7 linked regions of the Callithrix jacchus genome follow. The main gene of each other region encodes a partner of the protein of the gene in region 5 in a complex. Links are inferred from orthologs where the notes say so. Each region holds a gene or a part of one and is shown on either strand. Other genes may lie near its edges. The genes, in order: TMEM67, TMEM216, B9D1, AHI1, CC2D2A, TMEM107 and CEP290.

Region 1 (4,652 bases), on a different chromosome or scaffold from region 5:
CAAAAATTAGTTGTGCATGGTGGTGCACGCCTGTAATCACAGCTAGTCCGGAAGCTGAGGCAAGAGAATCACTTGAACCTGGGAGACAGAGGTTGCAGTGAGCCGAGACTGGGCCACTGCATCCAGCCTGGCAACAAAGCAAGACTCCCTCTCAAAACAAAAGAAAGAAATAGGGGCCGGGTGCGGTGGCTCACACCTGTAATCCCAGCACTTTGGGAGGCCGAGGTGGGTGGATCACGAGGTCAAGAGATCGAGACCATCCTGGTCAACATGGTGAAACCCCATATCTACTAAAAATGCAAAAAATTAGCTGGGCATGGTGGCGCATGCCTGTAATCCCAGCTACTCAGGAGGCTGAGGCAGGAGAATTGCCTGAACCCAGGAGGCAGAGGTTGCGGTGAGCCGAGATCACGCCATTGCACTCCAGCCTGGGTAACAAGAGTGAAACACCGTCTCAAATAAATAAATAAATTAATTAATTAAAATAAAATAAAAAAAAGAAATATACAGTATAGTAAAAACATATAGGTCAACACTGAGAGCAAACAAATATGAATGTTTCCAGTTCCCAATCTGGGCTTCAATGTCTTTATCTGTAAAATGAGAAGAAAACTCATTTTCTTAATTACTTTCCTTATTAGGGAAGTTGCCTTCATTCAAATAAATCACTGTTTCTCTCTGTTAAGATAGATAGTAAACATAGTAAGATAATCACTATTCAATTTGCAGTATAGATAAGGACAGCATTCTCTAAGGAGTCATTAGGTAGAAGCAGCACTCATAGGAGTCTATGTAGTATAATACATACCATATCTGGATTCATAGATATGGAACTATACCTTTCCATATTCATAAATATGAAAAAATATCTTACATTTTAACTTCTGAAATGCTTTCTCATTCATATTGCCATACATGTGTAGCCTGACCTGTTCGAGAACTTAAATGAGGATATGTCAAAGCTGAACATGCCAGAAAGTTAATAACATGGGTGACCAAATTGAGATAGAAAACATCTTAACATCTTTGCCGGGTGCGGTGGCTCAAGCCTGTAATCCCAGCACTTTAGGAGGGCAAGGCCGGTGGATCACGAGGTCAAGAGATCAAGATCATCCTGGTCAACAAGGTGAAACCCCGTCTCTACTAAAAATACAAAAAATTAGCTGGGCATGGTGGCACGTGCCTGTAATTCCCGCTATTCAGGAGGCTGAGGCAGGAGAATTGCCTGAACCCAGGAGGCGGAGGTTGCGGTGAGCTGAGATCATGCCATTGCACTCCAGCCTGGGTAACAAGAGCAAAACTCCGTCTCAAAAAAGAAAAGAAAAGAAAACATCTTAGACTTTAGAATATGGGAAAAGACATTCTGAGCAGTTTCAGTGAGAACTAGGAACAAATGATGTTTTAGGTATAAAAAATAGATTTAATCTAAAGAGACCTTAAGAATAATGAGTAATATTCTATGATAAAAAGGACAAGTCCTAAGGAAATCTGTATTAGAGGCATACAGCATAGTATGGGTCAGGCTCAGTGGCTCACTCTTTTAATCCCAGCACTTTGGGAGGCCAAGGTGGATGATCATTTGAACTCACAAGTTTGAGACCAGCCTCAACATGGCAAAAACCCCATCTCTACAAAAAAACTGGTGAGGTCCTGTAATCCCAGCTATTTGGGAGGTTGAGGTGGGAGGAGGATGGCTTGAGGCCAGGAGGTAGAGGCTGCTGTGAGCCAAGATTGAGCCAGGGCACTCTACCTGGGTGACAGAGCCAGACTTTGTCAGAGAAGAAACTAAAATAAAAGAAAATAAAGAGAAATGAAAGAAAGACAAAGAAAGAAAAGAAAGAGAGAGAGAGAGGGAGGGAGGGAGGAAGGGAGGGTATGGTGAAAACACACAGGCAGAGAGAGAGAGAGATGAGAGAGAGAGAGAGAGAGAGAGAGAAAGAAACAAACAGTATAGTGAAAACACACAGGCCAAGACTGAGAAAGGAAAGGAAGGAGGGAGGGAGGAATCGTGAAAACACATAGGTCAAGACTGAGAGCAGGGATATTTATTCTTTCAGTCCCCATCTGGGCCTGAATGTCCTTATCCGTAAAATGAGAAGACTGGATCTGATTATGATTAAGGTCCTTTCCAGTTCTAAACGTCTGGGATTTGAAAAGAAAAATGTAGGGCTGACCGGGTGCAGTGGCTCATGCCTGTAATCCTAGCACTTTGGGATGGGCAGATCACAAGGGCAGGAGTTTGAGACCAGCATGACCAACATGGTGAAATCCTGTCTCTAATAAAATAAAATAATAAAATAAAAAATTAGCCGGGCGTGATGGCGGACGCCTGTATATACATACATACATACATACTACTCAGGAGGTTGAGGCAAGAAAATCGCTTGAACCCGGGAGGTGGAAGTGGCAGTGAGCCGATATCGCACTATTGCACTCCAGCCTGGGTGACACAGCGAGACTCCGTCCAAAAAAAAAAAAGAAACAAAGAAAGGAAAAAAATGATGTAGGGCTATTGAGGTTCACAAGTGCTAGTTTGTTCTTCCTCCCTAATCTTTCCTGTCACCTGCTCCCGTTTACCTCAGATTACTTCTCTACTAGTTCTTCTCTATCTTCGGTAAACAGCATTCCGGGTGTCGCCCTGAAGACCCCCGTATGAGGAGTCGGGGACTGGCACCGAGAAACGAACTACAGGCAACGGTTCATTGGGTAGCCGACTCAGAATCTCCCACTTCATTCGTGTGCAAACTGCAATCCTTCCAGAAAACCCTCTTCTGAGACTTCCGCGGTTAACTTTTCTGATACATTTCTACTGCAGACGAAAAGGTGTTTGAATGACTCCAGAGACTAGGGGCAGACCAAGGCGGAAGTGTTACTTTTGCCAGGGCCCACTTCAAGCCGTCTTACCTCGGGCATCCTGCCTCTGGTTAGCTCCACACGGAACACAGGAGAGCGCGGAGATATCAAAGTACTGGTTGTTATCGCAATTTTCCGGCTGCTGGAAAGGGAGAGAGAAGGTCTGGGCCTGTAAGATGCGAGGGAGTAACAACAGAAGGAACGCAGTCACGGCTCGGGCAGATAAAAGGGACCAAGCCGCCATTGCCACCCCAACCCCACCGCGCGTAGCCATGGTACCGACGCTAGCAGCCGCCCAGGCTCCAGCGTCCCATCAGCCTCTGCGGTAACTCCGCTAAGCTGATTGGATAACCCAAGTTTGGGTACCGGAAGTCTCTGCTGGTGCTGCTTGGTTGCTAGGTTACCAATCCTGACGGAAGTTGACAAGTCCAGTAAAGAATGGGTTAAAGGCCGGCTAAAGCCCAACGGTATTTTTGAACTTGTGCAGAGCTCCTCGACTTACGACAGGGTTACCGCCTCCCCGCAATAAATCCATCATAAATTGAAAATATCATAATTTATTGAATTATATTTACATCAGAATTTATTCAGACTAGGTGATTTTAACCTTAAAGGAAACTTGTTTAACAATTTGACAGTCCGTCAAAAAAAAAAAAATAATAACAAAAAATAACAACACACTGACTTAAAACCCAGTGAAGGATTACTATAGAGAAAAGATTGAAAATTTTTAAAAAAATCTTTCCTGCCAGGTTTGAGCACAGGAAATCATGTATGTGAGACAAAGTACGAAGCGGAAGAAAACTGTTTACTCATTCTGTTGCCAGCGGAATTTCACAAAGCCCTTGACTCAGTGACTGAACGAAGTCCTCCAGAAGAATGCCCTACAGACAATAAGTAGAATAGAGCACAGGTTTCCACATCTGTTGCTTGAATCACTTCATTTTTTTAAAAAAGATACGTTCAGTGATCCTGGCCCTTGCCTCTTCCTGTACATAAGATAACGACTGACAGGATTAATGATTTTGATTATGTCTCTGTAATCTATAACCAGATGTACTCTCCAACCAAAACTTTGATGAGATTTTGCTCCAATGTAACTTCTGAGCATGTTTAATGTAACTTTTGAGCGCATCCAGAACTCCACCCCTTGATATAAAAACTGTGGGCAGAAACGCTGCTCTGGAGCAGTCTAACATAAACTCTTTGAAAGACTCTCCAGGGTGGCATTCCTCAGTAAGACTCTGAAAAAAACTAACTTTGAGTCTTTAAAAGCCTTATTTTTTCTTTAGTTGACTTGTATATAAATTGAAATAATCTTTACATCTCTTGTGAATAAAATAATCTAAGCCTGGTGCTGTGGCTCATGCCCCTAATACTAACATTTGGGAGTCCACTGTGGAAGGATTGTCTGAGTCCAGGAATTCAAGACCAACCTGGGCAACATAGTGAGATTCCATCTCTGCAAATGCAATTTATTTTAATTAGCTGGTTGGGTGGCACATGGCTACGGTCCCAGCTACTTGGCTGGCTGAGGCGGGAGAACCATTTAAGCTCAGGAGGTCAAGGCTGCAATGAGCTGTGATTGTGCCACTGTACTCCAGCATGGATGTCAAAGAGAGACACAGTCACACGCAAAAAAGAAAAATCCTGGACAAATATATGGAAACTGTTAGAAGTAGAGACCATTTGTAAGGCAAAGATGGAAATCTAGAGTCTAAATTGGAGCAATGGAGGAAGAGAGAGGCAGGAGAGGATGAATAAAGGAACTATTCAGGAGAAAGCATAAGAATTTTATG
Region 2 (4,537 bases), on a different chromosome or scaffold from region 5:
TATTTTTAGTAGAGACAGGGTTTCACCATGTTGACCAGGATGGTCTCGATCTCTTGACCTCACGATCCACCCGTCTTGGCTTCCCAAAGTGCTGGGATTACAGGTGTGAGCCACCGCGCCCGGCTATCCTTTCTTATATATGTTCCAAGTATTTTGTTCCTAAGTTTCTGCTTTAACTTTGATTTCAGGGATGACATATTCTAACAAATAACGGTTTTGCTCTGTATTTCTGGGGTTATAAAACTTGTCCTACAGGCCAGGAATGTTGGCTCATGCCTGTAATCCCAGCACCTTGGCAAGGCCAAAGTGGGAGGATTGCTTGAGGCCAGGAGTTTAAGAGAAGCCTGGGCAACAAGGTAACACACTGTCTCCACAAAAAATTCAAAATTAGCCAGGCATGGTGTCACACGCCTGTGGTCCCAGCTACTCAGGGCTGAAGTGGGAGGACTGCTTGAACCCAGGGCTTCAAGGCTGCTGTGAGCTATAATCGCACCACTGTACTCCAGCCTAGGTGACAGAGTGAGACTCTGTCTCAAATAAATAAATGCTAAAAAAAAAAATCCTGGCCGGGCGCGGTGGCTCACGCCTGTAATCCCAGCACTTTGGGAGGCCGAGGCGGGTGGAGCACAAGGTCAAGAGATGGAGACCGTCCTGGCAAACATGGTGAAACCCTGTCTCTATTAAATACAAAAAATTAGCCAGGCATGGTGGCACATGCCTGTAGTCCCAGCTACTTGGGAGGCTGAGACAGGAGAATTGTTGAACCCAGGAGGCGGAGGTTGCAGTGAGCCAAGAATGCGCCATTGCACTCCAGCCTGGGCAACAAGAGCGAAACTCCGTCTCAAAAAAAAAAAAGTCCTGGCTGGGCATGGTGGCTCACGCCTGTAATCCCAGCACTTTGGGAGGCCGAGGTGGGCGGATCACCTGAGGTCGTGAGTTCAAGGCCAGCCTAGCCAACATGGAGAAACCCCATCTCTACTAAAAATATACAATTAGCCAGGCATGGTGGTGCATGCCTGTAATCCCAGCTACTCGGGAGGCTGAGGCAGGAGAGTCGCTTGAACCTGGGAGGCAGAGGTTGCAGGAAGCCAAGATCATGCCATTACACTCCAGCCTGGAAAACAAAAGTGAAACTCCGTCTCAAAAACAAACAAATCTGGCCTGTAACACACAAATCAGTCCTCGCAAGGTGGCTCATGCCTGTAATCCCAGCACTTTGCAAGGCCAAGCCAGGGGGATCATGGGGTCAGGAGTTCGTGACCAGCCTGACCAACATGGTGAAACCCCATCTCTACTAAAAATACAAAGATTAGCTGGTGTGGTGGCACACACCTACTACCTAGTCCCAGCTACTCAGGAGGCTGAGGCAGGAGAATCACTTGAACCGGGGAGGCAGAGGTTACAGTTAGCCGAGATCATGCCACGTCACTCCAGCTTGGCAACAGAACAAAACTCCAATTAAATAAAATAAAATCCTACGAGAGATCCTTATTCAGAGAATTGTCAGGGATCTTGGGACTGATCTGTGCAGGATATACTGCCTCCCTGACATGGAGTTATAACTGAACCTATTCCCCAAGAAAGCTAGTGAGAGGAACCAGGCACTCTTCTTGCAGTTAGGCAGCTGAAAAGGAATCAATCATCTAATATCCCATGCTATTGCTGATCTCTAGCCTTAGAGAGCAACGAACAGGTAAATGTTGACCCAATTAAGAAGCAGCAACTTGAAACTTCAGAGAGGGAGTAAAGGGATATACCTCCAGATCCAATCTTTGATAGTTAACCTAGGTTATGTACTTTTCTTGTTAATCAAGTTACAGTTTGTCTCATAAGGAGTGGAAATATTCTCTGGACGACACTCACCAAAAAACAGGCGAATTACTTCAATTCCAAGGTAAAGGAGGAGCATCACCACATCCAGTGCTAGGTTAGCTTTTGGATATGGTAGCAGGAGACCTGCCAATACAAAAGCCAGAGTTTGCAAACAACAGATAACGGCACCCACAAGGACTGCCACACACTTGGGAAAAAGAGGACATCTGTCTCAGCTGTCCATGAACTAGTTAGGAGGTGGGTGTTACAGCTGCAGGATACATAAACTCACAGTGCAACCAACCCCGGCTCATTATTACCGCATTTTACCCCTAACTCCAAAAGTCTCTGGGGACTCCACTCTCCAAAATGATTGGATATACAGGGTACACAGGCCACTGAAGTTTCTGAGGGTCACCAATGGGCTTACAGCTGAGCTCAGCAAAGAGCAGCAATGTGGGCGGAGTCAGAACTGAAAGGCCCTGTTTCCCAAATTCAAGAAATTCTTGCTGAGGGGCTACCTGTGGGATCGTACTCAAATAAGCCATCTGATGAGGAGGCCTGCCTTGCAGCGACAAAGAACTGCATAGGGCAAAAAAGGTTCTTGGTAGGAGACGGCTCTGACCTGAAGTGGGGGAAAGATGCTGTGTCTAAGCCTCAAGCCTTCCTTACCTTTATACAGAAACATGAAAAGTTCCAGCAGGAAATAGGTAGTATTATACCACCCGTTCAGAAAGAATAGGATTTCCAGGGGGGTGGAGGACAACCGTTTCCCTGAAAAAGGAGCACAGAGAAGTGGGATGGGCAGGAGGGCGGCTCCCTCTCGGCTCCTCGAAGGGGTTGGTATCTACTTTGGGGAAAACTAGGGGCAGTGGACTAATGGGACCGGCCACTTAGGGGCACTTCTGGTTGCTGATAATGAGTGGGGTGAGGGTACGGAGGTGAGTGTGGAGGGGGCTTCCCTCCTTTCCCAGGAATCACCGTGAAACTCGATCCTTCGGCTTCAGGGATACAAGTTAAGAGGTAACTGAGATCAAAGATCTCTCCCTGTCACTATTTGGGAGGGGAAGTTGGGGCGCGGAGATCCACATATTCGTACCTGAGCCAGCCTAGAAGAGGCCCAGCCGAGGATGTGTAGCTATCTGAGCCCCGCACCCGGAGACCTTCAGGCACCCAGGCTGGGCGGGGCCGCGGAAGCCCGCTTTGGACCAGGGAGGCGCCAAGTCCCTAACGCTTGAGAAAGGAGGGTTTAGGTCAAGCTCTGGGACAGAGGTGGGAGGGAGGGGCCGAAGGGAAAGGGACCAGCGACTCACACACCTCCAGAATCTCACCTCGCGGCGCCATCTTCAGTCCCCATGGAAACTGCGTACGCTACCACCGCGGCTCCAGGAGCAGCGAGGCGCTGCCGGAAACGGGGACGGAGCGGCCTGCGCTTCCGGGCTCTCCGACCGCACGCGGCGCTCTGTGCCCAACCCGAGCGGGAAGAACCCGGGCCTGGCGGCAAGTGACTCTCGCTTGATGTTCCAGTTCCAGACCTAAAACAGTGGCCGCCCACGACGCCGTCGTCTGCAGGACCTCGGGGGTGTGGGGGAGGACCCCAGAGGCTCTCGGGCTACCGGGCGTTGGGCGGAAGTGGCCAGCTGTGACAATATGATCAGGATTGGCAAATAAGTCCTAGTCCCACCATTCCCCTTTTTCATCGGAAACGATAAACGGTGTGCGCGACGGATCTCTGCAAATGCGGGGTGGGGGTTAGCATTGGTTTCTTTTTTTCTTTTCTTTTGAGACGGAGTTTCGTTCGTTACCCAGTCTGGACCAGCGGCGCAATCTCGACTCATTGCGACCTCCTCCCGGGTTCAGGCGATTCTCCCACCTCAGCCTCCTGAGTAGCTGGGATTACAGGCACCTGCCACCATGCCCAGCTAATTTTTGTATTTTTAGTGGAGATGGGGTTTCACTATGTTGCCTAGCCTGGTCGCGAACTCCTGACCTCAGGTGATCTACCCACCTCGGCCTCCCAAAGTCCTGGGATTACAGGCATGAGCCACTGTGCCCCGCCAGCATTGGTTTTTTTCTGCGGCCTATTTAGTAGCAGGTAGAGACACCAGGGAAATAGAGCGTCCTTTCCTGGAGCACAAATTGAAACGAGTCACCACGTGATACATAAAGTGGTTCAGTGAGAGCTGAGAGGACAAAGTGCTCCCACATGGAAATCGAAGTTAGTTTCCAAAAGACGGCCTGTGAGCTGGGCTTCAAAGCCTCCTGATTCGGATTTTGAGCGGTAAAAGCATGTTGCTGGCTGGGTGCGGTAGCTCACACCTGTAATCCCAGCACTTTGGGAGACTGAGGTTGGTGGATCACTTGAGGTCGGGAGTTGGAAACCATCCTGGCCAGCATGGCGAAACTCCATCTTTATTAAAAATACAAAAATTAGCCGGGCATGGTGGTGTGCACCAGTAGTTCCAGCTACTTGGGAGGCTGAGGCAGGAGAATCGCTGGAACCTGGGAGACAGAGGTTGGGTTGCAGTGAGCTGAGATCATGCCGCTGCACTCCAGCCTGGGTGACAGTGATACTCCGTCTGGGGGCAGGGGGACAGGAGGTGGGGAAGGTGTTGCTGCAGGCAGGGGAGTGCATAAGGAAGGGTTTTGAGAGGACTCAGGCTGACTTGGCTGTTAGCCCATTGTGCAGGAAACAGAGGTCACACTCCAACCAGGTAACCTGAGA
Region 3 (4,001 bases), on a different chromosome or scaffold from region 5:
TGCAGTGAGCTGAGATCCTACCATTTTACTCAAAGAGACAGAGCAAGACTCTGCAATTTTAAAAAAAGGTAGGCTTCCTAATTCTCTGCCATAATTCTCAATGTGTTTTATCTCTTTTGATCATGGTAAAAATGTATCTCACAATTTCAGTATCTAGAGAGTCTGTTTATCTCTATTGCCTTATTGCCTTATTTTTGCTGGTTATCATTCATGTTGTCTTGATTCTTATGTGCCTTATTATATGCCAGATATTACATTTGAAAAAATACATAGAAATAATTTGATGTCTATGAAATGTTATATTTTTCCAAAGAGGCTTCTTTTCTTATTTTTTTGAGACAGGTTCTCACTTTGTTACCCAGGCTGGAGTACAGTGGCGTTGACCTCCTGGGCTCAAGCAATCCTTCTGTCTCAGCCCCCCAAGTAGCTGGGTTTACAGGTGCCCACCACCACACCAGGCTAATTTTTGTATTTTTAGCAGAGACGGATTTTTGCCATATTGCCCAGGCTGGTCTTAAACTCCTGAGCTTAGGTGATCTGCCTGCCTCAGCCTCTCAATGTGCTGGAATTACAGACATGAGCCACCATGCCTAGCCAAAAGAGGTTTCTTATTTGCTTTTGCCAGGTGCCTTGGGTGTAACAATCTTGGAGCTGAATGCAAAAATCAGGAGGTTGAAATTATCAGGGGCCAGGCTACAATCCCTGTGAGGCTGCTTTGCTTCCATCTCTCCCTTATTCCTAGGGCAGCTCTTTGGGTCTTAACCCAGTTTGCAGAGATTTACCTGAGGCCCTCCTCCCAACCCCTTGGAAGGCTCTGAACATCAGTTTTTTGTGTGTGTCCTGGGCCCAGAGAGGCTGTCAAAAGTCTTGATCAGTCTCTCAATCACCTCTATTGGAATCAGCAAACACTCCCAGGGGAGATGGGATGGGGGTAACCTCTGGATTTCTGTTCTTCTCCTGGATCTTGCCTGGTAAATCTCTTCTACTTCACTAGCTCTCTGATGCCTTTGAGGTAGTTGCTTTTTGTTTTTGCCTTTGTGTATTTCATTTACCTCTCCTACCTGTCTTCAGCAGGAGGAGGTTGGCTGAGTTCCTATAGTACTTACTGCACTATTACAGGAAGTCGACTGCAGCTTCCTATTCATAGATGATGACAGCAGAATGGAATTCCCTGCCCAAGAGGACCACCAGGCATTTTCTGCTCCTGACCCTCAACACTGTGGTGAGCCTAGGCCCAGGCCACATGCAGCAGAAAGGCCTAGATCGTGAAATCAGAGGGGCCTGAATGAAAATCCACACCTGGTCAGTAGATGTAAAGCAGAAGGCAAGTGAAGTCAGTTTTGAGTGTCAGTTTCCTCATATGGGAGAAGAAATGGAGAGAAATCTACCTACCAGGTATGATTGGGAAGCTCAGATGAGTTCACATAGGGAAAGTATTCAATGTCCCATGGAGACTAAGCCAGTAGGCACTTATTAAGTGCAAGTGGAAGATCAGCGTGGTTAATAAGCACCAGGCAGGGTAGAAAATAAGTAATGCCAGCCAGGAAGCCCTTGGGAAAGAGGTTGGAGGTAGGACATGGGAAGGCTATCTGGAGAGAGGGATCAGCATGAATGAAGCTCAGATGAAGGAACTTGAGGGGCTAGCACAGGAGGAGCAAGTGCCAGGGTCTGGTCGGAACACAACAGGCCACGGGAAGTCAACAGGCACGGAGTCAGACCTCCAGGCCAGACAGCTGCAGCCCTGCATACCAGGGAGGGGCCTGCCTTTTACAGGCATGGTCACTGGCCCTGATCCACTCTGAACTTCCAGAAGGCCAGCTGCACAGCTGTAGCAGATGAACCAGGGTGAGCACAGATGAGGAAGAGGAGGGAAAGGGACAGATGGTGAGAGAGAGAGTGCTGAGGGCTGCTTCAAGAGCCCAGGTGACAATGTGAATGTGAACAGTCATGGGCTGGATGAGGCAAAGGCCGTCTTGGGGGTGCTGTGTGAAAGCTCTGCCACCCTACCCTGCAGGGCCCCTGCAGACTCACAGCCATAGGGGTTGGTGCTTTTAAAGGTGACATCAATGGGGAAGTTCCACACCAGTGCTTGCCGCACATCTTGGCTCTTAGATGTGATCTGTGAGATCCCCTCTTCCAGACCCTGTGGGGACAATGACAGAGACAGCTAGAGTCAGATCAGAGTCAAGCTGCTGTGGCTCCTCCCTTACCTTCAGCAGGCAGCTGGGAAGGCTGTTTTCTCAGCTATCTTCTCCCAAGACACTAGATTTCAAACAAAGGGGACTAAGAGATGATGGAATACCTCTTAAGTGTGGTACTTTAATGTGGTAGTGTGTGTGACAACCCTGGGAGGCCAGCCACTCTCCCAGGCACAAGGGCACTGGGATCTGTTCCCAAGCTCTTGCTACACGGAAGGAAATGGTCCAGCAGTATTTGCACTCCCCTGCATCCCCACCCGCATCCGAGCATCCCCATTGGTAAGCACATAGATGTATTTTGTCCATCACACAGTCCTTTTTCAACTCTGCTGCCTCTTCCACCCACCAACCCATTCTCTGCTTCCGTTACAGCAAAACTGCTTCCAAGAGCTGCCTCACTCACCAGATCCAATTTCTCCCCTACCATTCTTTTTTCTTTTTAAACAGAGTCTCACTCTGTCGCCTCAGACTGGAAGGCAGTGAAGTGATCTCGGCTCACTCCCAGGTTCAAGTGATTCTTCTGCCTCAGCCTCCTGAGTAGCTGGGATTACAGGCACGCCATGCCCAGCTAATTTTTGTATTTTTAGTAGAGATGGTGTTTCTCCATGTTGGTCAGGCTGGTCTCAAACTCCTGACCTCATGATCTGCCTCCTCAGCCTCCCAAAGTGCTGGGATTACAGGCATGAGCCATTGCACGGGCCCCTCCCCTGCTATTCTTCTGTGACCCCACTCCAATGTGACTGCTGGCTCCAGCACTCTACCAAAGGGTTTTCTCCAACAATGTCCATGATCAGCATTGCCAGATGCAAAACAGTCATTTCTCCGTCCTTGTGTTACTTGAGCCATCAGCAGCGCCTGATACAGTTGCTTCCTCCTTGATACACTGTCTTCCGTTGGCTTCTGGGTCTCTCCACTGCACAGGGTGGCCCTGCTTGGTGGCTCTTGCTGGTTCCTTCTCAGTGTGCCGTCCTAAGGCTGCATCTTTGGCCAGCTCCTCTACCTGTACTTGGTGATCTCATCTGTCTCATGGCTTTCGATGTGCTCTAGATGTCAAAGGTTCCCAAATTTATGTCTCCATCCTGGTCCTTGCCTCTGTACTGTGGATCAGCACCTCCTCCAGTGGGCGCCTCAACCTTAACCCACACCAGGCTGAGCTCCAGGTAGCGCTCCCCAATCTGCTCTTCTCACTGAAAGGCAGCTCCCTACTTCTCAGTGCTCAGGCTAAAAGCCCTGCTGTGAATTCTAGCTCCTCCTTCTCTCACACCCCACATCCACCAGAAGAGCCCAGCGGCTTTATCTTCAGGGTGTACTTGCAGTCCAGCCCTCCCGCCACCATACCGCTGCTGCCCTCCTCTCTCATTGCATTGCTGTCAAAGCCAACTGTGCTGCCTGCTCTTGCCCTTTCCTGAAGTCTATCCTTGTCATAGAAACCAGGGAATCTTCTAAAAACACAAGTCAGATCGCTTTCTTGTCTGCTGAAAGCTCTCCACGGGGACCCCAATCCCTTTGAGTAAAGGTCACAGTCCTTACTCTGACCTTCTAAGTCCTATAAGATCCACCCTGGTGCCTCCCTGCTCCATCTCCAGCTGCTTTCCTGCTGGCTCGTTCTCCAGGGGCCACACGGCCTCCTTGCTGGTCCTCAAACATGCCGAGCATGCTCCTGTCCCAGGGCCTTTGTACTCTCTGCTTTCTGCCCGCACACGTATCACAGGTTTCTCCATGGCTTGTTCCCTCACTTCCTTCAGGTCTTTACTTAAAAGTTACTTTCTTGGCAAGGCCCTCCCTGGTGGCCTTAGTGAGATC
Region 4 (4,001 bases), on a different chromosome or scaffold from region 5:
GTTTCTTTTCAGAACTGTCTATATTTTTGCACTTTTACTTTTAAACTTGTCATTTTGTTTAATGTGTGAATCTTGCAAGCAAAATACTTGATATTTTATTTCATATTAGTATTATTTTTGAGATAGGGTTTTGCTCTATACTCTGGCTGGAATGCAGTGGCATGATCACGGCTCCCTGCAGCCTGCATCTCCCAGGTTCACGCAATCCTCCCACCTCAGCCTCCCAAGTAGCTAAGACTACAGATACATGTTACCATGCCCAGATAAATCTTTATTTTTTGAGAGATGGGATCTCATTATGTTACCCAGGCTAGTCTTGAACTCCTGCACTCAAGCAATTCTACCACCTCGGCTTACCAAAGTGTTGGGCTTACAGGTACGAGCGACCACACCTGGTCCTGATATTTTAAAAATCTATTTTTGAATCGTTTTTTAAAATGGAAAGCTTAAACTATTTACATTTATTGTCATGACTGAGTTTGCTCTTAATTTTCTTATTTCATTGCTTTCTTTTTAAAAAATCTCACTTGATATTTTTAATGCTGATGACTTAGAAAGTGTAATAATCTATTTGACATATGTCATTTGTTTTATTTCAAACTCTAGGATGAAATATAACTTTTGACTATACACTAGGGATAGGAGTAATAGCTACTGACTTTTCGTTCCTTTGTAAGCTAGGATGCTTTGCTCAATCTTTGAAACCAATTTGTTCTGTTATCTCACATTATCAATTATACATATCTAATGTAAAATCTTCAGGAATTATTCTGGACATATATAATAATTAAAAAAGTTCTACATGTTTAATTGATTTCAAAGTTCATCCAATGGTATTTTCAGTTCATAAATTTCCCATTAAAATTTTTATATTGATATATAAGAGTTGTATATATTTTGGGGGTTCATGTCATATTCTGATACCATATATGATGTGTAATGATCAAATCAGAGGATCTGAGATATCCATTACTCCAAGCATTTATCTTTTATGTTGGAAACATAAATCTTCTCTTCTGGCTATTTTGAAATATATAAATTATTAACTGTAATTTCCCTACTAGAACTTATCCCTTCTAACTATATTTTGTACCCCTGTTAAGGAATGAACTTCTGTTCATCTCTCCATCTAAGATCTTAAGATGTTCTATTCTTAAATTCTTAACTTTGATTCACATCTAGAAATGGTACTACATCTCTGATAAATCTTCAATCTTTTTTTTTTTTTTTTCAGGGAGGGAATGCTGATAATATTTCTCCAATAAAGCACATATGTTTACAACTACCCTCACAAATGACTGACAACTTGAGTAACTAGATTCCTTGAGCTACAATTTTTCCCTTAATACACTAAATATTTCTCTATTGTCTTTTGGATTTAGTGTTTTTAGAGAGAAGTCTGAAATGTACAATAACCTATTTATTTTTTTCTGTGAGGACAGAAAACGTAACAGTCAAAGTAGCAAAAAGTGCAACTGAAGTAGTGAGATGGGTATAAAGAGTGCATACTGCATTAACTGTGGATGCCAATATAGACTTTATGATACCAAGGGGATCAGATTGTAGTTAGTTGCTGATTTGCTTAATGTTACTTTGAGCACTGTATTTTTAATCCCTTCAAGTGTGCTGCCAAAAATTCTATCATTTGAAAGTGTGCCTCAAACATAAAAGGATAACTATTGCCTTAAGGCCGTTGATTTCTCTTGGTTCTGCTGGGTAGAACCATACAGAAAAAAGTTTCAACAAGCACAAGCCATTCAATAGCTGAAGTTAGGATACTACTTCCTAAGTTCTTCACAATTCTGGGTTAAAAATACTGATTTCCGGGGCCGGGCGCGGTGGCTCAAGCCTGTAATCCCAGCACTTTGGGAGGCCGAGGCGGGTGGATCACGAGGTGAAGAGATCGAGACCATCCTGGTCAACATGGTGAAACCCCGTCTCTACTAAAAATGCAAAAAAAATTAGCTGGGCATGGTGGCACGTGCCTGTAATCCCAGCTACTCAGGAGGCTGAGGCAGGAGAATTGCCTGAACCCAGGAGGCGGAGGTTGCGGTAAGCCGAGGTCGCGCCATTGCACTCCAGCCTGGGTAACAAGAGCGAAACTCTGTCTCGAAAAATAAAAAAAATACTGATTTTCTACAAAAATCTTATCATGGCTAGTTTTGAGTTTCCCCACTATCTCTGGTCATTCTCCCCACTGTGTGCATGTTCTTCTTGTAGGGCAGCACTCAAGAATGAACTCAATACTCCAACAGTGATGTCGATTCTAATGTCAACTTTATTTTACTATGTGTTATTGACCATGACATAATGTTACTGTTTTTAATTATATGCAGCCATTTTATGCAGATATGTAAATCACCATTACCAAATGATGATTACTTACCGAGATGTTTTCTCCAGACCTGACAAGTTTTTTCTTTGGTTTTTTCCTTTCATGCATTAGATCACTGTGGGTCTTAAGCAATTCTTCAAAGCGAACTTTGGTTTTTACTTTTGCTTCACTCTCAGCTACAAAAGAGTCATGTCATTCTGTAAACAACTCTATTATAACACATTACTCTTATGTTAAGAAATCAAGCCTTGTAAATACCTGCGTGAATCCTCTAGCTACATTAGAAACACTCGCTAGTCCTTCCTTCTTAAACACTTTTTACTTTGACTTTAGTGACACAACATTCACTTGTATCCTTCTGACCTTTTTGGCCACTGACTCTAAAAGTCTCCTTTGCTGAATTAACTTTTTATTTCTGATAAACAATAGCATCTACCACTGTTAGTTACATGTTATGTGGCTTTAGACAAGTTACTTAACATTCCTGAACTTCATTTTCTATATCTGAAAAATCACAATTATCCTATGTCCAAGATCATTTTGCATGAAAAATGGCTAAGGCCTGCCAAGCCTGTCATCAGTAATCCACAAATATTACCATTACAAAAAAATTTTTCTTTAAAACATGAATCAGGTAATGATTAAGCCCATAAAAGTTTCCCATTTTATTTAGGATAAAATAAGTCTGTCACATGCCCTACAGGGTTCCATACCTCCTGATCTATCTCTAGAGCTTGAAATCAAGACAAATATCCTCTTAGATGCCTATGTTCTAGCTATAATACCCTTCCTCCTCCGTCACAGCAAGCTCCTTCCGACATGAAGCTGTTTCTGAGGCAAGCTTCCTCTAACTCCTCACCTGGCTGGGGGTTAACCTGTCTGTTTAAATGCTGTCTCTAAATAAAACATCTGACAACTAAATTTTCCTTTTTATCACATAGCAGGTTGTTCTCTTCCTTCACAGCACTTAACACAAATGGAAATCATATAATCATTTTTATATCTATATAAAGAATATATTGTTTGTTTTCCCCATAACTACATCCCTAGCTACTACTATGAGGTCTGACACAGTATACATACTCAGTCATTATGTTTTAAATTAATAAATGTTGAATGAATGGGTACTCTAGAGCAACTGTTGGCAAACGATGGCCTGCAGGCTAGTCACTTGTTTTTGTAAAGTTTTACTGAAATCAGACAGGTCTATTTGATTAGGAATTGTTGTAACTGCTTTCATGTTTTAAAAGAGATAGAGCAAGAGACAGAGTTGAGTAGTTATAATAGAGACCAAGCCTAAAATATTTATTAGCTGGCCCTTTCAGAAAAGATTGCCAATGCTTGTGGTGGAGTAAAACATTCAATTTTGATGATAAATAATAAAAATTAACCCTATGTTGTAATCATTATTTACTTTGTTCAGCTGAGTCCCAAACTACCATTCATTAAATATATAATAACCTTAATCACAACATTAAATAGAAAACTGAATACAAAACCAATAAATATCTCTACAGTGTAGCATATTTGGTAAATGACACCTACTGTATTCATTAATCGGTTAAAGAATCCCTTAAAATGAAAATAATCCAAACTTTAAATGTATAAAATATAAATTTTATACATACATTTCATAAAAGTCTTACCGGGAGGCATCTCTCAGCTT
Region 5 (4,001 bases):
ATAAGTCGATCTGATTTCAGGACACTTGCTCTTTTCATCACAACTTAAAGCACTGATGGCGCATTTTAAGAAATCTGTGTTTTGCTTGTTTTCTTGTTGATGGTTATCATTTAGGTTTCACTGAAGTATTTACCAGATAAATTGCTCATATCTACCTTAATATTCAAAATTCTTTCTTTGGGGAATTTATGAATAAATTGGAACATTAGTTAACTTTTCTTGGTATTGAATACAGTTGGTTTTATTGGCAACTTCATTATTCACTCAAAGCCATAATAAACAAGTAGGTAATCCAGAGCATAGCCCTAGCAACACATTCTTATGATCATGGCTATTAGTATGAATTTATCATTAGGATAACTGTAGTCGGTATGAACATTTTCATTTTTGTTCTAGTTTATCCAAGTCCCATAACAAACCTTAGTTTATTCCGACTTTTATCTTTATAAACTCTCCTTCAACATAATATACCTAATAGAAATGCACGCCTAATAGAAATATTAGGAAGAATGGGTCATATTACCTAAAATGTAGTCTATTCCATGTAAAGTTTCAAATCACATTTCAATAGACATATCACTTTCATTATTTTCTTTTTAACTATATGTTTTCCCATCAAAGAACAAAACAGAGATTGCCTTCTTGACTGGTCTCTTGTTATGGACCAGGATTTTCACAGCAGGGTTGCCTTTCCCATGCAAGACCCCAGCACATCTTGGGGCACTCCTCTGCTCAGGAGGAAGTTACAGCCAGCAAAGTGCCAGGCAGAGAGGCAGGCAGCAGGCCTGGGTGAAGTGCAGTCCATTTCTTCTCAGAGGTGTCCGGACCGGGCCTTCTTAAGACAATGCATAGGAGCTTTGGAGGCTGGCTGACCTGGATCCATCTCTGGCTCATTTTTCTCAGTAACCAAGGCTGTCATTTTCCTGTCAGAGACAGGAAGGCATGGTTGTAAAGCTGACCAGCTGCCTCTGAGGCCTTTATCTGCATATGTGCATGATATTAAAAAGTCACATATTTGATTTTATATACAATACATATATGAGTATTTCTAGTAGGGACCTAGTAATACACTGTAGTCTGGAACAAATCTCTTCTTTTTTGGTCTGTATATTCGCATAATAACACTACTAGGGAAACATGCACAACAACAGTGAAACGTAATTTTTGTTGTTTGGAAAAATGATTTCTGATATTTTTTACAGCTACTAAGTGAATATAATGACATGTGACTCATTATATTTTAAAGTATTTTGTCTTTCAAGTCTTTTAATTTAAAATTGTTAAATGTTCCTTGAAGCTCAGTGCCAAGTTTCTTTGGATGAAATCTGCCTGGCATCTAGAGTTTTGCATTTTCTGTTTTTTATAGGTTGCTACCAGTGGTGAATCCTATGTCCCTGATTTCTTTAGACTGGAGCAGCTGCAACAGGAATTTAACTTTGTTTCAGATCAAGAATTAAATAGATCCAAACGATTCAGGCTTCTTCTTCTTAGAAGCCAAGAGGTGCCAGAATTCCGAAATTATAAGCAAATTCCAGTCTATGACCGAGAAATTATGGAAAAGGTATTTCAGGTAAGAAATTGCCATAGAGGGGTTAATAAAAGAATAAAGTACCTGTGGTGCTGTTTAGTATATTATTATATATGTATTTTGTTTTTGTTATGCTGTCACCAGCAATAGCAGTTTCTCTTTATTGCACTTTTATATATAACCTTCCCATGCGTTTTCTTGAATTCACCATTTGAATAATCTCTCTGCCTCAATATAGTGATATATAAACGAATCAGTTACCAGGATTTTGAGTCAACTGAACCACGTACAATTAGAATTGTAGAATTGAAAATATCTTAAGGGTTAATAAGGCTAATAATATGGCTAATTACTGAATGTCTTAGGAATTCAATTCCATAATGTAGTACTTACTAAGCATAATATACTCAGTACAGTGGTAAAGCACTAGGGAAAACTAGGGGGACAGAATCTGAATATCCATAGGGTTGGTGGGCAGGGCTGGGCATTCATCCTGGTCAAGGGCAGCAGGAGAAACAAAGACTCAGAAGAGAGCAGATTACATCTCTGGGCATGGGGTAGAGAAGCCTTTGAGGAACTGCAGGTAACAGGCCTGTGTAGGGGAGGGGCAGGCCAGTGAAACCAGACACATGCACTTTTTTTTCTTTTTCCCTGCTTTCATGAGCTGTAGACACACACACTTTTATTAATACTTAATAAGGTAAATGGAGAGCCATCAGGAATTAGTACCAGGAAGATTTTTCATGCCAAAACTATTCTTAAAGAGTATGTTTGGTTATTTGGTTCTTCTCTATATTCGTTTGGACTTTGATCACAGGAGATAAAAGCCCAATTTTGAACTACCTTAGGTACCGCGGGGAGTGTCTACGGGATGATGAAATCTCAAAATAGTACTAAATACCTAAAAGCGTTGAATGGCATGAGTGCGTCAGTGCCTGCTGCCAGGACCCTTCTGCTTCCTCTCTCGGCTTCTTTGATATGTTGGCTTCATGTTCCTCCTTTGCAGACAGGTTTTCTCTAGTTGGCCACGTGGTCACCAACATCACACAAGTTCATATCTAGTTTCTTCACCCAGCAGAGATGTGTCCTCTGAGCCTGGGTTAGGTACCACTTCCAGGTGTTCCACTGTGACCAGATGGTGGGATTAGAGAACATAGCAGTTCCCAGGGCACATACATAATTTTATTGACAGACAAAGCCAAATGTATGCATCACTCTCCTCCAAGCAGATGACCTGACTCAGCTGCAGCTAGGTGTTATGTCATGATGGTAATGTTTTAACTTGAAATTTTTACTATTTTTGTAATGGCTTTACTAAAGGCAAAACTTAAGCAGGAGCTTTGGCTAAGTTGCTTGGAAAAGCTTTTCTCTTATATTTTGTGGCCTCTATTTCTCCCTGACTTAACATTTTAATTTGTAACTACTGTACAGAATTCTCTTCTACTAGTAAGGCATTTCAGCTACCTGTCTCAGAATCCTGGTTACTGCATTGAAGACTAATTCTGAACCAAAAGTTAGAAAGAAGGTGGAAGAAATATTTAAAACCACAATTTATAACTTAAATCATATGTGATAAATAATTCCCTGATCTTAAAAATAGCACTGGAGAGTGCTTTAAAATCATAAAATCATTACCTCTTTTTAATTTTAGGACTATGAGAAACGGTTACGAGACAGAAATGTAATTGAAACCAAGGAACACATAGACACCCACAGGGCCATAGTAGCCAAGTACCTCCAGCAGGTGAGAAAAATCATATAAAACTGTCTTCAGAGGGGGAAAAAAAGCCAGCATCCGAAGGTGAAAAGTCCTCTACTTTAATAAATATCTATGTGAGCTTATGCAAGCCACTTAGCTTGCAAAAATTTCCTCATAAATACAAATATGTAATTGATTGACAACTATTATCACCTTTCAAGTATATGAAACCACTAGGATATGTCCTGGTTTATTATTAGCAGTTATCTTTTAATGGGGCATAGTTACAAGGGATTCAATTTCTAAGTATGTTTTTTCTAATATTTGAATGTTGCCATTGAGTTACAATGATTACCTTTGTAATCAGAAAAAAAAGTCTTTAAACCATCTAATAACTGCCCTTATGCACTAGAAAACTAAAAATTAAAGCTGAAACATCCTTTTGTTTATCCTTTTACCTTTTTTGTTTCCTTCTTTTCTTCCTTCCTTCAATTAACTGAACTTGCCAGAAATGCTACAGTGCATTTTCCCTATCCAGTTTATCTGCCCTGTGGCTCATGTATTAGGAAAAAAAAATGACTTATAACATTTAAGAGGTTATTATTTTTATTTATGTATGTATTTGAAACAGGGGGCTGGCTCTGTCGCCTAGGCTGAAGTGCAGTAGCATGATCTCAGCTCGCTCTTAACTTCTGCCTCCCAGGCTCAAGCCATCCTCCCACCTCAGCCTCTTGAGTAGCTGGGATACAGGTGCACACCACCATGCCTGGCTAA
Region 6 (4,515 bases), on a different chromosome or scaffold from region 5:
TGGCCTTCCAAAGTGCTGGGATTACAGGTGTGAGCCACTGCACCCGGCCTGTTCTTTTTTTTTTTTTTTTTTTGAGACAGAGTCTCGCTCTGTCGCCCAGGCTGGAGTGCAGTGGCGCGATCTCGCCTCACTGCAACCTCCACCTCCAGGATTCAAGAAATTCTCCTGCCTCAGCCTCCCGAGTAGCTGGAATTACAGGTGCTCGCCATCATGCCCAGCTAATTTTTATATTTTTAGTAGAGACCGGTTTTCACCATGTTGATCAGGCTGGTCTAGAACTCCTGACCTCAGGTGATCTGCCCGCCTTGGCCTCCTAAAGTGCTGGGATTACGGCCATGAGCTACTGCGCCAAATTTTCTAAAATAAAGTTTAAGAACAAATGCCCCATTCTTTTTATAGAATTATAATTGTAGCGTTTCCCTTTTCATAGCATATAGTATCTTGCGGATTTGTTTGCATGTCTATTATTGATCTCCCTGACTAGAATCCACCTACTAGGTAATCAGTAAATACAAACAATATTTGAAGAAATGAGAAATGCCTCTTGGGCATATATTTAGACTGGCTAAAGGCACTGAGACGGGGAGTGAGGAAGAGGAAGCGGTTGTTCTCCGGGGAAATGAGCCGGGAGGACCCTTGAGAATGGGACTTGACAGCATTGCGAGAAGAAAGAGCTTTCCGATCAGCGGGGACCTGCGCTGAAACCCAAAGGTCATGAGGTTGCCGATGATAAGAGCTTCTTGGACTGTAGCTGGGTAATGTCGGAGGCCCAGCACCTCCAAGAGATAAAGAAATCTGATTTGAGTTTCCGTTCCAGTCAGCTCCAAGCCTCCCAGGGATGCAGGGACTGTCCATTCCCTCCATCCACTCCCACCCTTTCCGGTCCCCTTGCTCTGCCATTTTTTGCACTCTGCAAATCCCTCACCAAACTGAGCAAAGTTAGACTGAGAGAAATCAGTCTTCCTCAAGGAAAGTTCAGGCCTGGGGTCCTCAGACATCCAGGGGCTCCGTGACAATCTGTGACTGCTGAGCAGTCTAGGGACACCGCCTCTCCAAGTTCGGGACCCTTGTTTCTGAGGCCAGCTTGGTGGGAAGCTAAAGGCATACGGAGGAGGGGAAGGGGAGCGTGTCTGAGTCTTCGGCATGGCGGGGACCCGGACCTCAGCCCGGCATGGCGGTGGCGCGGCCTCAGGAGATCCACAATTGTCGGTGTAGAAGGGGCTGGGGGCCGCTCCCGGCAACTGCGGAAGCCGAGGTGCCCCCAGGCTAGCCCAGGTCGGTTTCCGTTCGTCGGTCCTGGGCGGGTAGATCGGGCGCTGCGGGGCCGTGCCACCTCGCACCCTCTCAGGAACAAAGGGCTTGGCTACGCGCGGATACCCAAACGTTGGGTTAGAATGGCATTCGGGGAAGCCCTGACCTGCGCAAGCCGGAAGAGGCCAGCAGCAGCTTGAGAATATACTGCTCTCGCGATGTTTTTCGAGAACGCGGCGCCGCGTTCGCGTACGGAGTTACCAAGGTAACTGGGCGGTGCCTGAGCGGGCGGGAAGGAGGCGTTCGTCTAGATTTTGTCCGCTTGCAGGGAGACTTCAGGAGTCGCTCTCTTTGAAATTCCGGCCTCTGAGACCGCCGCCCCTGTTTCCAAGGGCCATGGGCCGGGTCTCAGGGCTCGTACCTTCTCGCTTCCTGACGCTCCTGGCGCATCTGGTGGTCGTCATCACCTTATTCTGGTCCCGGGTAAGACCCACGGCTGACATCCGTCCGCCCCTATTCCCACCTCGGAGTGGTCCCAGCCCCATCTTGCCCCTCTCCCAGTGTCTTACCCACTTAGGTCTTCTCGTTCCCCGCCGCCCCCAGGCCTGCCTCGCCGCCCGTCCCTTTTTCACTTCTCTTCCTCTCTGCTCTGCTCCCAGGACAGCAACATCCAGGCCTGCCTGCCTCTCAGGTTCACCCCCGAGGAGTATGAAAAGCAGGACATTCAGTGAGCTCTCTCGGAATGGGCTGGTCAGAACGGAGAGGTGGTGGGAGTGGAGGGTTCTTAGAAGTCCAAGGGCCTGAGGCTGTCCACTTCCTTTCTGCAGGCTGGTGGCCGCGCTCTCTGTCACTCTGGGCCTCTTTGCAGTGGAGCTGGCCGGTTTCCTTCTAGGAGTCTCCATGTTCAACAGCACCCAGAGCCTCATCTGTATCCTTTCCTCCTGCTCACCTTTCCCACACGACCATTTCCATCAGGACTCCCTTCAGCCACCTGACACCATAGTGTCTGCTGTAACCAATCTCTCCAGTTCGGATATCTTCAAACATGTGCTAAATCCTGCTGTTTACTAGGCACTTAAAATCCCAAAATGAGAGTAAAACAGTTTTCGGCCAGGCACGTTGACTCATGTCTGTATTCCCAGCAGTGTGGGAGGCCCAGGCAGGAGGATTGCTTGAGGCATCATAGTGAGACCCTATGTCTACAAAAATAATAGTAATAATGAGAACTTCACCTTTTTTGTTTATCATGAGGAGGAGGCAGACACATATCTGTAATTCAGTGATAAGCAGGGTGCTATAGGAGTGTGTAAAGAGGGGTGGGCGCGGTGGCTCACGCCTTTATTTCAAGCAACTTTGGGAGGCCAGGACAGGTGGATCATTTGAAGTCATGAGTTTGAGACCAGCCTGACCAACATGGTGAAACACCATTCTCTACTAAAAATACAAAAATTAGCCGGGCGTGGTGACGGCACACCTGTAACCCCAGCTACTCAGGAGGCTGAGGCAGGAAAATTGCTTGAACCTGGGAGGCAGAAGTTGCAGTGAGCCGAGGTTGAGCCACTGCACTCTAGCCTGGGCAACAGAGTGAGACTCCGTCAAAAAACAAACAAGCGGGACACGGTGGCTCAAGCCTGTAATCCCAGCACTTTGGGAGGCCGAGGCAGGTGGATCACGAGGTCAAGAGATTGAGACCATCCTGGCCAACATGGTGAAACCCCGTCTCTACTAAAAATTCAAAAATTAGCTGGGCGTGGTGGCGTGTGCCTGTAGTCCCAGCTACTCAGGAGGCTGAGGCAGGAGAATTGCTTGAACCCGGGAGGCGGAGGTTGCAGTGAGCCGAGATTGTGCCACTGCACTCCAGCCTGGTGCCTGGTGACAAAGTGAGACTCTGTCTCAAACAAACAAACAAACAAACAAACAAACAAAAGGTAGAAAGCACAATGGGAACTCAGAAATGGCAAAGGAAATGAAGCACGTGGGTCAGAGAACTGTGAACCAGGAGTGCTAGAACCCTGGAGGCTGATTCCAGCAGAGCATATCAATTCGCTGTCAGCACTCCTGTGTGGCATGGTAGGAGAGCCTACTCTTACCTCTCATCTGAAGGGTCCAAGCTGGCCTCTAGATGTGGGGTAGGCTAGCCTGAGGTCCCATCTATGCAGTTACTTCTGGTCTCTCCTCATATGACCATCCTACAATTCAGAAGTCAGGGCTGCTGACTCTAGCCCTTGCAATATGGTGAGGGAGCAAGCGATGAACCTGAGTGCAGATGCCAACCCCACCACTGATGTTTTCTGATCCATCACTATCTGTCGATCCAAAGACTTTCCTTAACTGTGGTGCCTTCCCAAGCCATTGGGGCTCACTGTAGTGCATCCGTGGCCCTGTCCTTCTTCATATTTGAGCGTTGGGAGTGCACTACGTATTGGTACATTTTTTTCTTCTGCAGGTGTGGTAACACCCAATATTTGGGGATGAGGGAGGAAGGTTTACCCTAAATCTGAAAGTTTTCCCCCACCCGGTCCCTTCTTCCATGCATGAGATCCTGTAGTCTTTTTCATCCCCCATCCCCATGCCACCTGCCCTATACTTTCAGGGGTGGGGTCTCTAGTTTGGAGATTTGCATATTTATATTGAAAGGATTTCTGAATCTACCACCTGCTTCGGTAGTGCCCTTCCAGCTGTCACTGAAATGGCTTTATTCATCGCCATCTTTGGGCTGAAAAAGAAACCTTTCTGATCACCTTCCTGATGGTCGAAGGCTACATGGGAGGCCGCTTCGTATTCCTGGAAGAAGAAAGGCATAGGCTTCAGTCTTCCCCTTGGAAACTGCTTCTGCTAGAGGATATGTGTTGGATGTATGGGATTATCAGCATTGTATTTAGTGTTTTGTAATAAAATATGTTTTGTAGTAAGATCAAGAGTTATATAGTTTTCAGGGGACAATTGGGATGGCTTAACTATTGAAGAAAAAAACAACTACGCTGTTTTCTAGTCCTGCAGACCGTAAGATACTTGATATCGCTTCTATTTTGGTTATTACGGTAGACGTCTGGGGGAAGGAAGTGGGCGGGGATATGTAAATAAAAGTGCATACAGTTAGAACGTCCAGCACGTAAATGATTGGAGCATTCTGGGAAGAAATAATTTATTCCTTTTCTCAGCTGAATGAAAAAAATTATTTTAAAAGAGATGAAAGCAAATATAGCAATACAATTGGAAGGATGTTAAATAGCAAGGTGGCTCGTACCGACGCGTTGTATACTC
Region 7 (4,001 bases), on a different chromosome or scaffold from region 5:
TATTATTATTGTTGTTTGAGACAGAGTCTCATTTCTGTTGCCCAGGCTGGAGTGCAGTGGTGCAATCTCGGCTCACTGCAACCTCTTGCCTCCTGGGTTCGAGCAACTCTTCTGCCTCAACTACCCAACTAGCTGGGATTACAGGCACTCCCCACTAGGTTCGACTAATTTTTTTTGTATTTTTAGTGGAGATGGGGTTTTTGCCATGTTGGCCAGGCTGGTTTTGAACTCTGGGTCTCAAGTGAGATTGATTCTCTTAAATAGCATATCACTGTTTTCTTAAAATGTATGACCCTCTATTTCTGAGAGAATAATGAACAAAATGAAATAAACAGAATATAACATAATAATGACTTAAAGGACACAAAGGTAAAAAATGTTTCTGAGTATAAGAGACAGGACAGTTACCACATGTAGGCACCAAATTTTACTAAGTTTACTAATAGCTGAGGTGAAATAAAAAACAAGTAAGTGTTAAATAGAAATGTTAATAAATAAATAAAACATTAAATAAGAAGCTGAGGTAAAATAGGAAATTTTCTTCAAGAAAATACAAATTTACCTGCAAAAAACTTTTTTTCCAAAACTAAATCCCAGGGAACACTGCAAAAATTATTAGTTTACAACAAGGAATAACATGAGTTAATAAAAACTATGTATTAAACATGTTATTTTAAATATCATTGATAAAATGTTGAGATTAACACTTTTCAAAAACAATATATATATATCTCATATATAAGGATACAACCAAAAACAAGAAATTTAATTAAACATTATTGAATGTATCATCAAAAGATTCATTTCCAAATCTACTAATCATATAAATACATTGAAATAAACAAATATAACTTTTATGCAAAATAAACTATGATACTAAGATCACTTCTTTATGCAAGTCTATTAGTTTCTTGACACTAATCTTCCAGACAAAAGCATCAATTTTAGGTAGTAAGTGTGATATATCCTGAGAAAAATGTACCTCCAAATATAAAGAATTAATCTTCAAGTCATATTCACTAAAAGTACCTGTTCCATTATATTTTAAAATTTGTGATGACAAAATGAACAGTGTTATAAAATCTTATAAGTGTACATCATTCCTCAAATATAACATACAATACAAAAATTGATATTGTTACCAATAATTATAAAAAGCCAGGTAACTTGAACAGTGAAGATTCATGGAAAAAAAAGTGCTTTACTTGCTCATTAACTTTCTTCTCTTTCTCCAACTCCTTTTCCATGTCCTCCAATTCTCTATCTTTTCGTTCTAATTGCTTTTCAAGTTGGCGAATTTCATCACGTAAAAACCGAGTATCCCGACCACCTGCAGACCGCTGAGCCATCTCAAAGTAATAAACCCAAAGTATAAATTATATTATATTTTGAAGTTCAAATGATTCAACAATAAGCAACTTATCTTGACTTTAAATTTTCATTATATTTCAGTGCAGATATTTAAAATCATATTAAGAATCTTTTTTTTTTAATTTAACTTACCTAAGCGTTAGTTCACAGCTAGTAAGTCTTTAAACTTCTCCTGAGCCACCCAGAGCTACAAAGAATTGACTGTTAATCATTCTGTTGTAACCACTGGCCAACAGGTAGCAGACTAAAGGCAAAGGTCCTAAGCCGCAGAGATCTGGAACCCGTGTACGAACCATGAGAAACTCCGTCGCTGTTAGTGAAGTTTAGTGCCTTAACCTGCCCTTTCTCTCATATCATGCACTATTTAGACCAGTGCTGCCCAACAGGACTTTCTAGGATAATAGACATGCTCTCTCTGCTGTTCAGTTCAGTAGCCACTTGTTACATGTAGCTATGTTTGGGTATTTGAAGTGTAGCTACTGTAACTGAAGAACTAAATTTTTCATTTTAATTTTAACAAATAGAAATATAAATAGCTAGTGTTAGTGCCACTTTACTGAACAACTCAGGTTTCATTTATCTTTAAGATTTGTAGCCAACTAAATCCATTTTATTTCATATTCTTGTTAATTTAGGTCATGTCCCAGAACATCAAATCATTTGGTCATCTAACCTGTCTCACATTTATCTCTTCACCTTATAGTTCTGTTTTTCCTCTACCTTAACCAAATTTTTCACACTCTTTCTCTCCTTCAAAAAGCATTCCCTGTGCTAAAGTCTTCTTCCAAGATAAATATTTCACAACCTCAGATTATTTACTGAATCATCCTTTCCATCTCCTTGCCTTAGCTGCAATTTGGATCCTTTAGGATACTAATGCCCTTGGAACTCTTTCAGTTGGAAGGTGCTCATTCTTTCACAGCCCATATACATTAGGGTCAGGAGGAGGTGTTGGTACTTCTAGGTTTACTCTACCCTGCAACTTCACGTGATCATTCCTATCATTCCTCCATCATCCTATGAAAACCTCAGCTGCTTTCTCACAAGATATCCAGCTCTCCATCTTTACCTACTCATGGTAGCAGCAAACCACCAACTTCCCAGTGACTCTGCAAAATGTACTGGGAATTTAAGCATGTGCCTCACAGACGTTCATCAAATCCCCAAGCAATTTCCACATAACTTTTGTTCTAGTCTATTTTTTTTTTCTTGTTTCTTGAATTCACTATCATCTCTCACTGACACACCAACATCAAATCCTTGTCCAATCAGAAACATTCTTTCAATTATTCCCACTATGCCTGTCCTTTGACCTCACAGGACACTAATCCCTCGACTTCTCACTCCTTATCCCTACCCTTCTGCCCACCCAACCCCAATCTTGACTTTCTTATCTATTCAGTTGAGACTTCATAATCACCACTTCAACCACTTTCCTACCAATATCTTCAAAACTGTCTTACTCTTCTATTGTATAGCAGGTGCCTATCTAAACATTAACACAGAATTGATTCAACTCCATAATTCATTTAATGAGTATTTATTGAAAGTACTTGGCATTTTTCCAGGAGCTGGATATACAATCAAAATAACAAGTCATCCAAGTTCAGAGAATTAACAAATAAAAGAATCAGGACTAGAACTCAAATCTGTCTGACTCCAGATCCCCAACTCTCCAGTCTTTTCTCCATTACATTTCAAATTTTATCTGATTTTCTTAAAATGTGACCACACCATCTCCCACTCTTTCTAACAGATGACATCATCACTGACCTCTCAACTTCCAGGCACTATGCCTACAAACATAAAGGCTTCTACATACATCTACTGTTCCTCCCCTCATCTACTCTTCCTTCTCTCCTAACACAAGGAAAAGGGTATTCCTTCTTTCAAAGGCTGATCCGTTTCAAAAGCTGATCCATCCCTACCTTTTCAGGAATCTGAATTTAGTTCCTCAACAATACATTCATACTTTAGCCCTCAGCTTTGTAAAAAATTACTTCTATAAAACCCTTTGGTCATTATTCCCCAACTCCCCACCCACGCTCCACCTCAGTTACTAGTAAGCTTTCTATGTATTTCCCAAGACTGCAAGCTCCATATAGCAGTTAACTGTTTTAATTTCATTCACAACTGTATGCTCAATCCGAGAATATATACTGAAAAAGCAAATAACCATGATTACTATCATCCTTATAACTTTTCCAGCCAATAATAATTTTAAAATTTGAAAACAATGCAAAATAAAATTTATGACAATTACATTCTAGGAAATACAAAAAGACATACCTCCAGTTCATTTTCCAGTTTCATTACTTTAGTTTTTAATTGATTTTCTGTTTTTTAAAAAAAAAGACAAATGTTTTCATACATTAGCTACCACAAAACAAACTTTTAAATAAATTTAAATAACAAAATTAATTCTTTTAAAAGACTCCATCATGACTATAAGGTATCAAAAAGAATTATATGGCAGATCCATAAAATAGGAGTCTAGAATTGCTTATTATTAAGTAAATGTTATATATTAAAAATAAACTATATACATCTTATAGAATAAATTTGATTTTCTACAGCTTAATGAACACATGGAATTTATTATTTAATACCATAAACTTTTTTCCAAGTTG

Evidence for each region.
Region 1: CC2D2A (region 5) and TMEM67 share a complex: the UniProt entries of both Homo sapiens proteins name them as parts of the tectonic-like complex. The link is inferred for Callithrix jacchus from reciprocal best matches to the Homo sapiens genes CC2D2A and TMEM67.
Region 2: CC2D2A (region 5) and TMEM216 share a complex: the UniProt entries of both Homo sapiens proteins name them as parts of the tectonic-like complex. The link is inferred for Callithrix jacchus from reciprocal best matches to the Homo sapiens genes CC2D2A and TMEM216.
Region 3: CC2D2A (region 5) and B9D1 share a complex: the UniProt entries of both Homo sapiens proteins name them as parts of the tectonic-like complex. The link is inferred for Callithrix jacchus from reciprocal best matches to the Homo sapiens genes CC2D2A and B9D1.
Region 4: CC2D2A (region 5) and AHI1 share a complex: the UniProt entries of both Homo sapiens proteins name them as parts of the tectonic-like complex. The link is inferred for Callithrix jacchus from reciprocal best matches to the Homo sapiens genes CC2D2A and AHI1.
Region 6: CC2D2A (region 5) and TMEM107 share a complex: the UniProt entries of both Homo sapiens proteins name them as parts of the tectonic-like complex. The link is inferred for Callithrix jacchus from reciprocal best matches to the Homo sapiens genes CC2D2A and TMEM107.
Region 7: CC2D2A (region 5) and CEP290 share a complex: the UniProt entries of both Homo sapiens proteins name them as parts of the tectonic-like complex. The link is inferred for Callithrix jacchus from reciprocal best matches to the Homo sapiens genes CC2D2A and CEP290.

Annotation. Positions count from the first base shown.
Region 1 is NC_133517.1:33,426,723-33,431,374, forward strand, and holds the start of TMEM67 (meckelin), read right to left. Parts: upstream 3,147-4,652; 5' UTR 3,128-3,146; coding exon 2,905-3,127; intron 1-2,904. UniProt on the Homo sapiens protein: Required for ciliary structure and function. Part of the tectonic-like complex which is required for tissue-specific ciliogenesis and may regulate ciliary membrane composition.
Region 2 is NC_133511.1:118,390,588-118,395,124, reverse strand, and holds the start of TMEM216 (transmembrane protein 216), read right to left. Parts: upstream 3,177-4,537; 5' UTR 3,157-3,176; coding exon 3,144-3,156; exon of another isoform or gene 2,912-3,143; intron 2,587-2,911; coding exon 2,485-2,586; intron 1,957-2,484; coding exon 1,864-1,956; intron 1-1,863. UniProt on the Homo sapiens protein: Part of the tectonic-like complex which is required for tissue-specific ciliogenesis and may regulate ciliary membrane composition.
Region 3 is NC_133506.1:83,255,317-83,259,317, forward strand, and holds part of B9D1 (B9 domain-containing protein 1), read right to left. Parts: intron 2,144-4,001; coding exon 2,032-2,143; intron 1-2,031. UniProt on the Homo sapiens protein: Component of the tectonic-like complex, a complex localized at the transition zone of primary cilia and acting as a barrier that prevents diffusion of transmembrane proteins between the cilia and plasma membranes.
Region 4 is NC_133505.1:142,223,032-142,227,032, forward strand, and holds part of AHI1 (jouberin), read right to left. Parts: 5' UTR 3,992-4,001; coding exon 3,982-3,991; intron 2,512-3,981; coding exon 2,387-2,511; intron 1-2,386. UniProt on the Homo sapiens protein: Involved in vesicle trafficking and required for ciliogenesis, formation of primary non-motile cilium, and recruitment of RAB8A to the basal body of primary cilium.
Region 5 is NC_133504.1:178,326,079-178,330,079, reverse strand, and holds part of CC2D2A (coiled-coil and C2 domain-containing protein 2A), read left to right. Parts: intron 1-214; exon of another isoform or gene 215-923; intron 924-1,366; coding exon 1,367-1,570; intron 1,571-2,429; exon of another isoform or gene 2,430-2,653; intron 2,654-3,179; coding exon 3,180-3,272; intron 3,273-4,001. UniProt on the Homo sapiens protein: Component of the tectonic-like complex, a complex localized at the transition zone of primary cilia and acting as a barrier that prevents diffusion of transmembrane proteins between the cilia and plasma membranes.
Region 6 is NC_133506.1:74,652,545-74,657,059, reverse strand, and holds TMEM107 (transmembrane protein 107), read left to right. Parts: upstream 1-1,522; 5' UTR 1,523-1,647; coding exon 1,648-1,734; intron 1,735-1,910; coding exon 1,911-1,978; intron 1,979-2,078; coding exon 2,079-2,179; intron 2,180-3,600; coding exon 3,601-3,697; intron 3,698-3,918; coding exon 3,919-3,988; 3' UTR 3,989-4,163; downstream 4,164-4,515. UniProt on the Homo sapiens protein: Plays a role in cilia formation and embryonic patterning. Requires for normal Sonic hedgehog (Shh) signaling in the neural tube and acts in combination with GLI2 and GLI3 to pattern ventral and intermediate neuronal cell types.
Region 7 is NC_133510.1:93,053,105-93,057,105, reverse strand, and holds part of CEP290 (centrosomal protein of 290 kDa), read right to left. Parts: intron 3,708-4,001; coding exon 3,661-3,707; intron 1,350-3,660; coding exon 1,206-1,349; intron 1-1,205. UniProt on the Homo sapiens protein: Involved in early and late steps in cilia formation. Its association with CCP110 is required for inhibition of primary cilia formation by CCP110.